3 linked regions of the Oryzias latipes genome follow. The protein of the gene in region 3 interacts with the protein of the main gene of each other region in a pairwise test. Links are inferred from orthologs where the notes say so. Each region holds a gene or a part of one and is shown on either strand. Other genes may lie near its edges.

Region 1 (4,278 bases), on a different chromosome or scaffold from region 3:
TAGACTCATAAATACTCGTCCAAAAACGCTCATATCAGTTCGATTTTAACTTTGTGAAATCGATGACGTCATATCCGCCGTCTAAAAAATACAAGTAGTGAGCGTGGCGTCCGAATCGCTTTAACATTCAGGGCGCTACACAGTGCTGCACTATGTAGTTTGGGGTTAGGGTGGGAATTCAGACACAACCAAGGATTTTATTCTCATTTTATTTGATTTCACAGAACTACCTTAAAATAAAAAAAAGATAAAATAAAGATAAAAATAATGCATAATCAATTATCGAAGATGGTTAAAATGAGTGATTTCTAATTACATTACTTCACTTGCTCCAAAAATGGATTCATGGTTTTTCTTAATGAAACTTAATTTTGCACATATTTTTAACTTTTGAACTTTGATCAATTTTTGATATTGAAGATTTTTGAAACAGTGTTATGTCTATTTTACTGATATAGTATTATTTTTTAATCATATACATCATTGTTCTAATGAATATAATCAGCTTATATTTTAGATAATTGATCTGCATTTGCTATTTCTAAAATAGAGTTATGTCTATTTTTACATAATAATTAAGAAATTCATCTTTATCATGAGATTTATTGACACCAAAAGATTCTTAATTCTGTCTGATAAAAGTTCTGAACCGGATAAAGATAAAACATGTAATAAAATATGCTGATTGTATTGTTTTTGTGTATTTTTCTTCCTTGATTGCTTGAAATAAACCATTTCAAATCAAAAATCAAATCAAATCAAAATGTAAGAGTTCCTATTTTATCCATGTCTGTCCCACATTTGTTCAGGTAAAACCATTTGACCCCACAAAGTGACTTCAGATCCGTGTTGGCGACTGGAACGGGACCGGCAGCGTTTTAGCAGATACCAGAAACCCCGGACAGAGAGGCGGAACCCACCTGAGCCCGTTGGCGCTGGCGGAGCCGCTCAGGTGCGACGCCGAGATCTGACTGGCAGAGGGAGGGGGGAGCCAGGGGCTGCCCCAGGATATCCCCCCAACAGAGTGGGGCCTCCGGGGATACGGCGAGTAGACGGAAGTGGGGTGGGTCGCGGCTGCCCTTCCTGGTCCCTGCAGGCCGGGTCGGTTCAGACTCCCCGAAGAAAAGGAATGTCGGGAGCGGCTGGGCATGGGCCCCGTGCTGCTGTGGCTCAAACACTGCTGGCAGGAGCAGGCCGGCCCCAAGGGGACAGCCGGGGGCCCCGGGGACGCCAGCGGGAACGGGGAGTTGCCCAGTCTACGAACCTGCCGTCTGAAACCCGTTGATTTGTTGACCTGGGCGAAAGACGTGAGGTCCACAATGTAGTTGTATCCGTGAGGGCCCAGGTCGGCGGTCCCCTGGCGGGCCTGGTAACTGTGCTCCAGAAGGATGGAAGTTCTGGTCTCGTACGGAGTCCAGCCCCCTTCATCGTTGGCCCATTCCCAGTAAACGCCACTGCCGAGGCCCGAAGACTGGGGGAACAGAGACCGGCGCACGGAGCGCGTGGTTCCTGCACAAAAACCCGCAAATGAGTTTACCTTCAGCAAGACAGTACTCTTTGTAAGAGTACTACAAAAGGTACTTGGTCTATACTAAAAGTGATGCACTTGAAGTTCACTTCCATACTGTCTATTCCTGGACTCAAAATGTTCCAAGAAATACTCAGTTACTTCACTAAATCTACATAGTCTCTAGTATTCTAGCTATACGTGTACTCAAGTATACTTAATAAAATAAACTTAAAGTGTACTGCTGCTTTCTAGACCAGCTGACTGAACCAACATCATCTTCTCAGAAATGCAGTTTAAAAAGACAAAATGAACGACGGAAACCAGAATCTCTGATCTGAATCCGGACTTCAGGTGTGGTGCTGAAGCGGTTTACCTGTATCCTGTCGAAACTGCTTCAGGCTCGGTATGTCGATGAGGTAGGGGGACAGACTGGGATCTGATTGTCCGAGGCAGACGCTGGTGGAGCTGGGTCCGGCTCCCCGGTGGCCCCGCGGGGACAGGGACCGCTCGATGTGGGAGCAGACCTGGCCGCTGTACGGCCGCCAGAAGCCCTGGTCGTCCTGCCATTCCCACACCGCTATCATTGGCTGAGACTGTCCGACTGACGGGGACGGCGCGGCGGACACCGACGGCCCGTTTCTGGAGCTGCTCACCCGGGAACACGATCCAGACACAATCGCCATATTCACCGACCGAGGTACTAGCTAAGCTAACGGCGGCTCGTTCTAGCTAGCCGATCGGGGCTACGACAAAGCCAAAGTCCGCGGGGCTAGCTTGGCTCACTAAAGAGCTTCATTATGAACGTGGGAGCATGAAGAGGCCTGCAGGTAAAACACTACGCGCTCTCCGTGAACACCAAGGTGCATGTTGACATTTCTATCAGGGGAAACGCTAGCTTTACAACTGCGTTGCTAAGGTTCCTCCTCTGCTCCACCAGCTGCCTTCACGCGCCCTCTGAATTTTTGCATTCAAACCGATGACAGGTTGGCTCAACTCAGATTCGTAAAACAGAATTTTAATCTGTAAAAACATGCAAGCACAAAACAAACATAAATATCTACTTGCTAGTGTTGCTGGTTTAAATGACTTTAAATTGCTTACATTTAAACCCCACTATACAAAAAGCGTCCTTCATTACCTCTTTTTTTTTCAAAGTCTGTGGTGAGTCGGGGACAGATGGGAGAATGTACATTTCTTGAGTAGATCTGTGTGTTTTTTAATTCTAAAGCCAAACACTTCAAAGACCAGAGTACGCGGCTTTATTAACCAAAGAACAAATAACCTTTCAAGAAGAACACATTACCGTTCAAAATTACGTTTACAAAGTCTCCCTGAACTTCACACTCTTCTTCTTTTAAAACAACAACCTCTTCCTCTTTTTGGAATCTTCAAAAACTCTGCTGCCCCCTAACGGAGACAAAACGGTACGACAAAATACTCAGAAGAGGAAAGGTTGAGCAAAAGAAAACTACGACTGTTGGATCAAAGGGAACTGTAAAAAAATAAAAGATGTGTTCAATTTGCCACAAGAATTACATTAAAAAAAATTGTCAGAATGTCACAATTTTCCGAACTGGTTAAAACCAAGTCCTCATGATCTTAGTATTTACATTTGTACAATGGTACTCCAAACATAAAATATTACAGTTTTATTATTAAACTTCAAAACTTAGTTCCACATAGACAATAGAAATTATATTAGAGACTCTATAATATTGAATAATACAATCATATTATTTATTATTATTTCAACGTAAGAATATATGTTTAGACAAAAATGTTTGAAATCCCTTAAAGCAAATGTTGGGTGAAATTTTTTTTTATTGTTGTTTGAAATAGCACAAAATCATAAAAAGAACACTTTTGTTTTTTGGACACTGGGAAAAAGAAAAGATTTTAAAATAAAAGAAAACTAAGTAATTGTTTACCCCCGGAAATTTTATGAAAAAACACTTTGTTTTTTCTTTAAGGTGAGTATGAAGCAGAAGCATCGGTTTGCATCAATAGTGCGTCAAAGGCTTAAATGAAACCCCGGTGTCTCCTGTTTGCTCGGATCATCTCTGAGATGCGTGGGCTTCACTGACGTCCACCCGCGGTTCTGGAGTCGGTTGGGTTTGAGAGGACACCTACCTGTCTGCATGAGAGCTTTCATTCAGCAGAACATGTCAGAAAGGGAATGTCTGTGGACCTCTGAGGCCCAAATAAAGAAAAACGATGCAAAAAAACCCAGGTTCTGGTGCCTTGAAGGTTTAAATGTCAAAAAGGCCCTTTTCATTTAATAAACTGACGCCTCCCTGAGGTTTACTCTATTTGAAACAAGACATAAAACATTTGGAAAAAGTGAATAAGCCCTGAATGCACTGCTGGTAGAAGGATTCATGTTTAGTGTTTCCACCTTTAGAGCCGCCACATGAAAGATGAGGAAACCTTCCTGATCTTTCTGAAATTAACAATTCATGAACTGAAAGTTTTGAAGTTTTGCAGCAGCAGCAAACTTCTCCTTTTGCAAGACTGTACGCTTTTAGGAGATTAAACCCAAACGCTTCATAAAGTTACCTTAATCATAAAGAAAACCAAACTGGGACGAGGCCGTTTCAGTAAAAATATATGTCCTACCATCATTTTTAATTTTCCAAAAAGACACAGTGTCCAGAGAGTTTATTGCCAAATATAAATGACTGTTTTTAATTATCCGTAAATCTGCTTTTTATGGAGCGTTAGCAGAAGCATCTTTGGGATTACAGCTTGTCCACAAACCTCCTCCTTCC
Region 2 (4,276 bases), on a different chromosome or scaffold from region 3:
TCAAAAGTTTCTTTAAAAAATTAAGAAATTGAAAAAAAATTAAATGTATTTTTAATTAGTTAACTTTACAAAACAATATTTTTTTATTCGAAATATAAAGCTTTTTTTGTAAGCATTTTTTTTCAGAATTGTCAATCTTTTCCCCCCAAAACTGATTTAAGACTTTTAAAAACAGACTAAAATTTGAGACAGAGATCACTCTCTTGTCTTGGGGGTTTTGAATATTATTCCTGTAAATGTAGGACAAGATTGAGCCTGAAAGGTGTTAGAAGTGAGTAAAAATAATCACCAAACACGTAAATGACATGTTGGATTCTCTGAAAAGGAAAGTTGTGTTTATAAGAAGCTGAAACCAATGTTAAATAAGTAAGGTAAGAATATTTAAAAAGATTCTGGATTTCAATTAATGTTAACTGTAAAATGATGACAGTCAACAAGCACTTCTAATCTAAAGAAGAAATAAGTAAAGCGTACCTTTCATTGGCCTGGTAGGTCGTTGGCTCCTCAGCTGGCGGCTTTGTCTCTGGTTTGCTCTTAAAATAATTGACAAGTCCTCCCCATACACTCTTGATGCTGTTGATATGTTTTTGGCTGGTCTTGAGGTCCTGATCCATGTTGTCCAACATCTTGTCGGTCCTCTTTAGAACCTCACCCTGACGTACCAGCTCCTATGAAGGAAGATGAACCAGGTTTCTCAAACTGCCGCTCTCTCAGAAACATTCAGAAATGATGTCTGCATTTGAATAAATCTGATTTTATATGATTAGATTTACACACTTCTGCAGTTTCCACACCCATCTTCTCTGATTCATAGATCAGGCCAAGAGAGCGGTGACTGCTGTCCACAGCAGATTGAGCTGTACGCATCACTTCCTGCTGCAGGTACCTCTGCCGCCTCTGTGCTTCAGTCAACCCATCATCGGGGTCATCATCAAAACCCCTGCTTTTAGGCTTAAAATCTTCCTCATCGTCATCATCTGCAAATGGATTGTGGGATTTAGGGTAGGCCATCTGTAAAGAAAAGTCAGTTCAGAAAATAAAAAAAGAAAAATAAATTAATCTCAGCTGCGCCTCTCATTTCACGGCATCAAAAATAGGAGATGAGTGGTAACAAGTTACATTTACATAAGGAACTAACTGTAAAAGATGAGTTTCATAACACTCTTACTCAGCTGCAGTGAGTTTCTTAATTGTTTTGTTTGTTCTAGTTAAAAAAGCACAATGACTTGGTTTTTACAACGGCAGAGAACTGCAAAAAAAAAAAAAAAATCCACCATTATAAACATAATAAGGCTTGGTTTTTGACTTTATGGCCATAACACATCAGGGGATCCTCTATCAATATTTTGAAATATTACAGACAGAATACTATGTGTAAAGCACATTAAATATAACATATTTAAAAGTCCAATTAATACTCATAATTGGACTTTGTTTATTAACTAAGTAGAGACATAATTTTATCAATTCTAAGAAGGATAACTGATATAATTATTGAATTTGGTATGCCCAATTTATGATTTTTGACAATATCAGATTTTCCAGTGTCATAAAACTTGTCAATCCAAAGCAAGTAGACCTTGCTAATTAATATCTCACTGGAAAGACAGGAAGCTATCAATAAATCTCATTGTTGCCAAAAAGATTCACCAAAGACATATTGTTCTTCCATTTGGTTAGTTTAACAATTTATTTTAGAATCTGGAAATAGTAGTATTTGCTCTTCAGTTTACCCTTTGCTTTACTACGGTAATTTCCATGAATAGTTAAAGTAATAATTAATCCGGTGCTAAGTACTCAAGCAGAATTTTTCACTAATTGTTTTACCCTACTAGTCATTCAACTATTTACTCGAGTAAATAGTTTAATGACTAATGTTTCCTTTTATTTGAGTTTTCTTTAAGTAATTTGTTATATTTAGACACAAGGTATTTCACTAGAGTAAACAGCTGTTTTTCTGTGAGAAAAAAAAAGCTTTAGGCGTATTTAAACTTTTTGAGCACATCTATGATAACTCTTATTCATCCAGGACGCTGTTCCATAGCAGAAAACGTTTGAAATTGGTCACTAAGACATAAAAAACAAAATGTTTTACATTTAAAAAGCTAAGTTTAAACCCTACTCTACTGAAACAAACGTAAACAAAAACAATAACAACAAGAAAGACAATATAATCAGCAAACTGCTAAAAATTATTGATAAAAAAAATAAAGCTTTCACAACAATAAAAAGTGGTGGGGGGGGGGGCACAAAAATGAAACAAAAACATTTGTCATTTCAGAATATGGGGGGGGGGATCGATCAACCAATTGATTGGTTAGCAATTCAGACAGTCAGACAGTATTGCGTAACAAACTTTTCGAAGAAATATTATTAAAGGCTAACTGGTCCTCATGTTGCAAGTTTTATGAACAAAAAACATACGGATGATATTTTAAAAGAATATTATCATGTTTTTTTCATTTACTTAACGGCCGAAGAACGTAAAAAAGAACGAAATGAATGATTTTTGATATAAAACTCGAGGGTGTTGTCAGGCTGCTATCACTCACACAGACCTAGCTTTTCTAGAAAGATCATAAATAAGTCAACAAATTAAAAAAAATACAATAAAAGCAGCAACAAAACAGAGTTGATGGTCATTCTCACACGACACACTACAGTTATAACGACACCGCAAAACTGTAAAGAAAACCAACTCGACAAACCTTCGATGATTTTGTGTTAATATCAGCTGACAGAAGAGAGCGACTCCTCTTCCTGTTACGTCAGATGACGTCACCGCGTCCAACGGTCAATCGTCCGCAACCAATTCGCAAACTAAAACATAAAGTGTTTTTATTCATAAAAAAAATTGAATAAATAATTGCTATTACACAATTATGTTTTTTACTCCATTTCACCCAGAATAATTTATAAATAAAATCCTTTTTTAAAAGTAAAATACGCTTTTGGGAAGTATGTCTTCTCCCGGCCGCCGTACTGCGGCTCTCCCAGCTCCCAGTTGCAACGCCCCCCCCGCCTCGAATCCTCTCCTGATTGTATTCATTGCTCTGCCTTCATGTAGGGGCGATCATGTCTGTGATAGGAGGTGGAACGAGAAGCTTTTATTTTAACACAGTTCTGTCTCTGGCTCGATCTCTCGCCGCCCAGCGTCCAGCACCGCTCGAAAAGGTACAAACGAAGGAACCCGGGTGTAAATTAGCGTTATTTGGCCAAGTTGGTAGCGACAGTCAGTTGGTGGTGAGGGTGTTGCTTCGCTTCCGCACAGGAGGCGGTGTCTTGTTTTGGTCCCAAATATGACAGGCAGGCTGATTGTTTTTGACGGATCTGTTGGGAATCGATTGCGTGGCGGCGTGACTGCGGGGTTTGTGTGAGTGGAGAAGGAGGGAAACCGAGGGCACCGGGTCCCGGTGAGGCGCCCGGTACCGCGTCAGGCGGAGCGGGGCTTTCACAGCACTGCAGTCAAACAGGTTTAAAGACTGGAAAAAGTTGATTGTGTTGACAAGGCGAAAGGACAACCTGTTGACACTGGAAGATGGAGCAAAGGAGACGAGGGGAAAAAAACGTCGAGTTTGATCATTCTAATGGATCATCACTTGGAAAATACATCATGATTATACATCACTGATTGATTCCACTTTGAACCAATTTGTTACGGTTTTAACATATGTTGGTATTTAATTTAAAAATTCGCGATTTTATTAATGTTTACTTGAAGTCACTATGTTCTTAAAATTAAATAACACTTTTTATAAATGGAAATAATTCATCTAAGTAAGTTGAAATGGAATTTATTGTCGTTTCTTGTTTAAATAGTTTATAGGTTGAATAAGGCAGATAGATGCTATTTTATCACCATAATTTTGTTGTTACACTTTCCTTTTTTTTGAGTATCAAAGATTGCAACCAAGTAAGTAACCAAGAAACATTTCAGTCGTCTTACTTACCGGTAGTCTTACCTGAGTATTGGCTTAACCAGACATATTAAATTTCCAGTTAAATTTAAACCACATTTATTCTGTATTTGTACTCTTGCTTGTGTAGTTTTTACACTTTGTTTCTAAGTTGATTTGCTTTTCTCTCAGGAACGTCACATTTAATCATCAACCTACCCACCTGTTGCACCTTATGTCTTGTGTGTTTTGTGTCAAAAGGGTGTATATTTTTCTGCATTGTCTGCAGTTTTGAGATGCAACGGTTTTTGGTGACCAATACCTTAACCATAGCCTCCTCTTGTAACCCATCTACACCCGTGCTATGAATGGAGCACAGT
Region 3 (2,401 bases):
TGTAAGTCTTATTCTCCCCCCCGTGTCCAACCTGTTTGTCTAAAGCCAGGAGGACGTGGGTCAGATGACGATCCAAACTGAAGATGTTGCCATCACAGAGGAGGACCTGGAGCTGATCAGAGAAAGAGAAACCAACATCCGACAGCTGGAGGTGAGTCTGATTTCTGCACACTTTCACTCAAAGCCAGTCTCCAACTACCGACTTCCTGCTTCCTTTAAATCATTTTCTGCTCTTGCTGCTTCTCTGGTACCGTAATCAGTAGGTGGGCGGATCCGACATCTCTAATAAAATAGGCTCCCAGTCAAGTTTTTGTGTTTCATGGGGAAACGGGGGCCCGTTCTTCAGCTGACTCTTGTGTTTTGTCTGTTTATTTCAGTCCGACATCATGGATGTAAACCAGATCTTTAAGGACTTGGCGGTAATGATTCACGACCAAGGAGAGATGGTTGGTAAGCAAGATTTGTTGTGGTCATTCCCATCTACGGTGGCCCTGAAGTGCAAATTACATCAACAAACCCCTCAATGCAAAAACATATGAAAAGATCACAACGACAATAAAAAAAAGAACCCAAAAAACTTGCATTTTAGAAATTAGAAAAACAAAATTCCAAAAACCACTGAAACAATATAAGAAACTGGAAAAGGTAGGTGTTATACATCCATCACTGATTGGATGATGTTTGAGTTTTAGGAAGAGGGAAAGCAGAAGGACGTTTTGTCCAAACTAGGGTAAAAAAAAAAAAAACGTTGGCCAAACTGTTGCAGTGGTTGATGCCAGAAGCTTAAAGAAATATCTTGTAACTGAAGATTTTTCTGTGCCAGGTAACTTCTGCTTGAAAGGGTGAACAAACGTCCTCATCCAAAACAATAGAAAGAACGTCAACACATGGTTACTTAACCAACAAATGGTTAAGTAACTTTCTGAAATAAATAGTATCAGTACTGAAAAATAATATTCCTCTAAAAAAAACAGAAGTTGTAATCCTGGCATATTAAGGGTTGTTGCTACTTTCCAGTTGATGACGGTGTATGTTCCGCCTTTCAGACAGCATAGAAGCGAATGTGGAGAGCGCTGAGGTTCACGTAGAGCGAGGAAGGGACCAGCTACAGAGAGCGGTACACTATCAGGTGAGCCTGCACCCGCCCCTCCCACAGCCGCCATAGAGCGCAGGTTCCAGCTCACCTTTCTGTGTTTTCCGCTCCTCAGCAAAAGTCTCGAAAGAAGATGTGCATCTTTGCCATGGTCTGCTCCCTTATCCTCCTCGTCCTTGCCCTCCTTATCTGGTGGGCGTGCAAGTGAGCTGAAGTCCCACATTCGGTGGTTGAACACTCCATTTTAGCCCCGCCCCCTTTCCACCTTATAGCATTCAATTGGAACGGCAAGAAAGCTGGAAAGCCGTCAGCACAGCAGGGGGTTTGTGCCACAGTCAACGTGAACATTTCATCTGAAAGGATCCAGTCCGTTTATTTGTAAAGTAGTTAAAGAATCTATTTTGTCTGATTGAAGAAGGAACAGACAACAGAATACTGTCTAATTTATGAAAGTCCTTAAATGTACTTACACCTCCCTTGTCTTATTTACCACACTAATGCTATTTACTAATGTATTTTTAATGATAACTGAAATAATGCATCTTGTTTAGGTGATTTATTTCTTCTCTGTTTTGTTTCCTCTGCTGCTTTAAGAAAGCTCCAGGTCTGGCTATGCTTTGTTTCTTTCATTATAACAGCGTCTAATAGCGGTCGGTTGTACATGTTGTAAATGATAAACATCCATGTCTGTTTTCAGCACTGAACTAGAAAGGCTGTTGTTTTCATATGCGGTGTATAAAATGGATTTCTGTGACTCCCTACAGTATGCACAATAAACATCATAAGCGCTCATATTCTTTTGCACTTGTGTTCTTTTATAAACCTGCACAAAGTGTGAATCACTGCAGAATGTGTAGATTTCCCATCATGCCTTATCCATGGTCATGCTCTTTTCTGTAATGTAAGCATGTGATACAGGACTAATACAACTGGAAAACTAAGAAAAATTAAAGTACAAACAGAATGCAGTGATTGGCTTAAATTATGGATCTACTCCTTATTAAACAAAGTATAAAATGTTCAAACACATTTTATTGCTAGTATAAAATTTGCTCATTTTAGCCTAAAGACGGCAACAATGAATGTGGGCTGGGGGAAACGTTCCTATTTTGAATCTTTAATATGTAAAACTATCTGAATTCAGACATAAATTATAAGAAAATCCCATTCCTACTTTAAAATAAACTCTTTGTATACAGATATGGCTAAAATGATCAGCACCCCAGGATTTAGATAGATGACTTTATTAATCCCACAATGGGGAAATTTCATTTCTGTGGCAGCAACACGACATTCAGAAATAATCTA

Evidence for each region. The genes of interacting proteins can lie anywhere in the genome.
Region 1: the proteins of stx12 (region 3) and probable E3 ubiquitin-protein ligase DTX2 interact in binary tests that used the Homo sapiens proteins (3 or more experiments, as listed by UniProt). The two-hybrid records come from large-scale screens. The link is inferred for Oryzias latipes from reciprocal best matches to the Homo sapiens genes STX12 and DTX2.
Region 2: the proteins of stx12 (region 3) and snap29 interact in binary tests that used the Homo sapiens proteins (3 or more experiments, as listed by UniProt). The link is inferred for Oryzias latipes from reciprocal best matches to the Homo sapiens genes STX12 and SNAP29.

What each region holds. Positions count from the first base shown.
Region 1 is NC_019872.2:28,223,976-28,228,253, reverse strand, and holds the start of probable E3 ubiquitin-protein ligase DTX2, read right to left. Parts: upstream 2,834-4,278; 5' UTR 2,194-2,833; coding exon 1,884-2,193; intron 1,510-1,883; coding exon 921-1,509; intron 1-920. UniProt on the Homo sapiens protein: Regulator of Notch signaling, a signaling pathway involved in cell-cell communications that regulates a broad spectrum of cell-fate determinations.
Region 2 is NC_019867.2:6,078,873-6,083,148, reverse strand, and holds the start of snap29 (synaptosomal-associated protein 29), read right to left. Parts: upstream 2,834-4,276; 5' UTR 2,709-2,833; intron 1,012-2,708; coding exon 778-1,011; intron 669-777; coding exon 475-668; intron 1-474. Other genes in the region: phosphatidylinositol 4-kinase alpha, read left to right, coding at 3,076-3,174. UniProt on the Homo sapiens protein: SNAREs, soluble N-ethylmaleimide-sensitive factor-attachment protein receptors, are essential proteins for fusion of cellular membranes.
Region 3 is NC_019869.2:17,746,162-17,748,562, reverse strand, and holds the end of stx12 (syntaxin-12), read left to right. Parts: intron 1-45; coding exon 46-151; intron 152-377; coding exon 378-450; intron 451-1,046; coding exon 1,047-1,129; intron 1,130-1,208; coding exon 1,209-1,301; 3' UTR 1,302-1,887; downstream 1,888-2,401. UniProt on the Homo sapiens protein: SNARE promoting fusion of transport vesicles with target membranes. Together with SNARE STX6, promotes movement of vesicles from endosomes to the cell membrane, and may therefore function in the endocytic recycling pathway.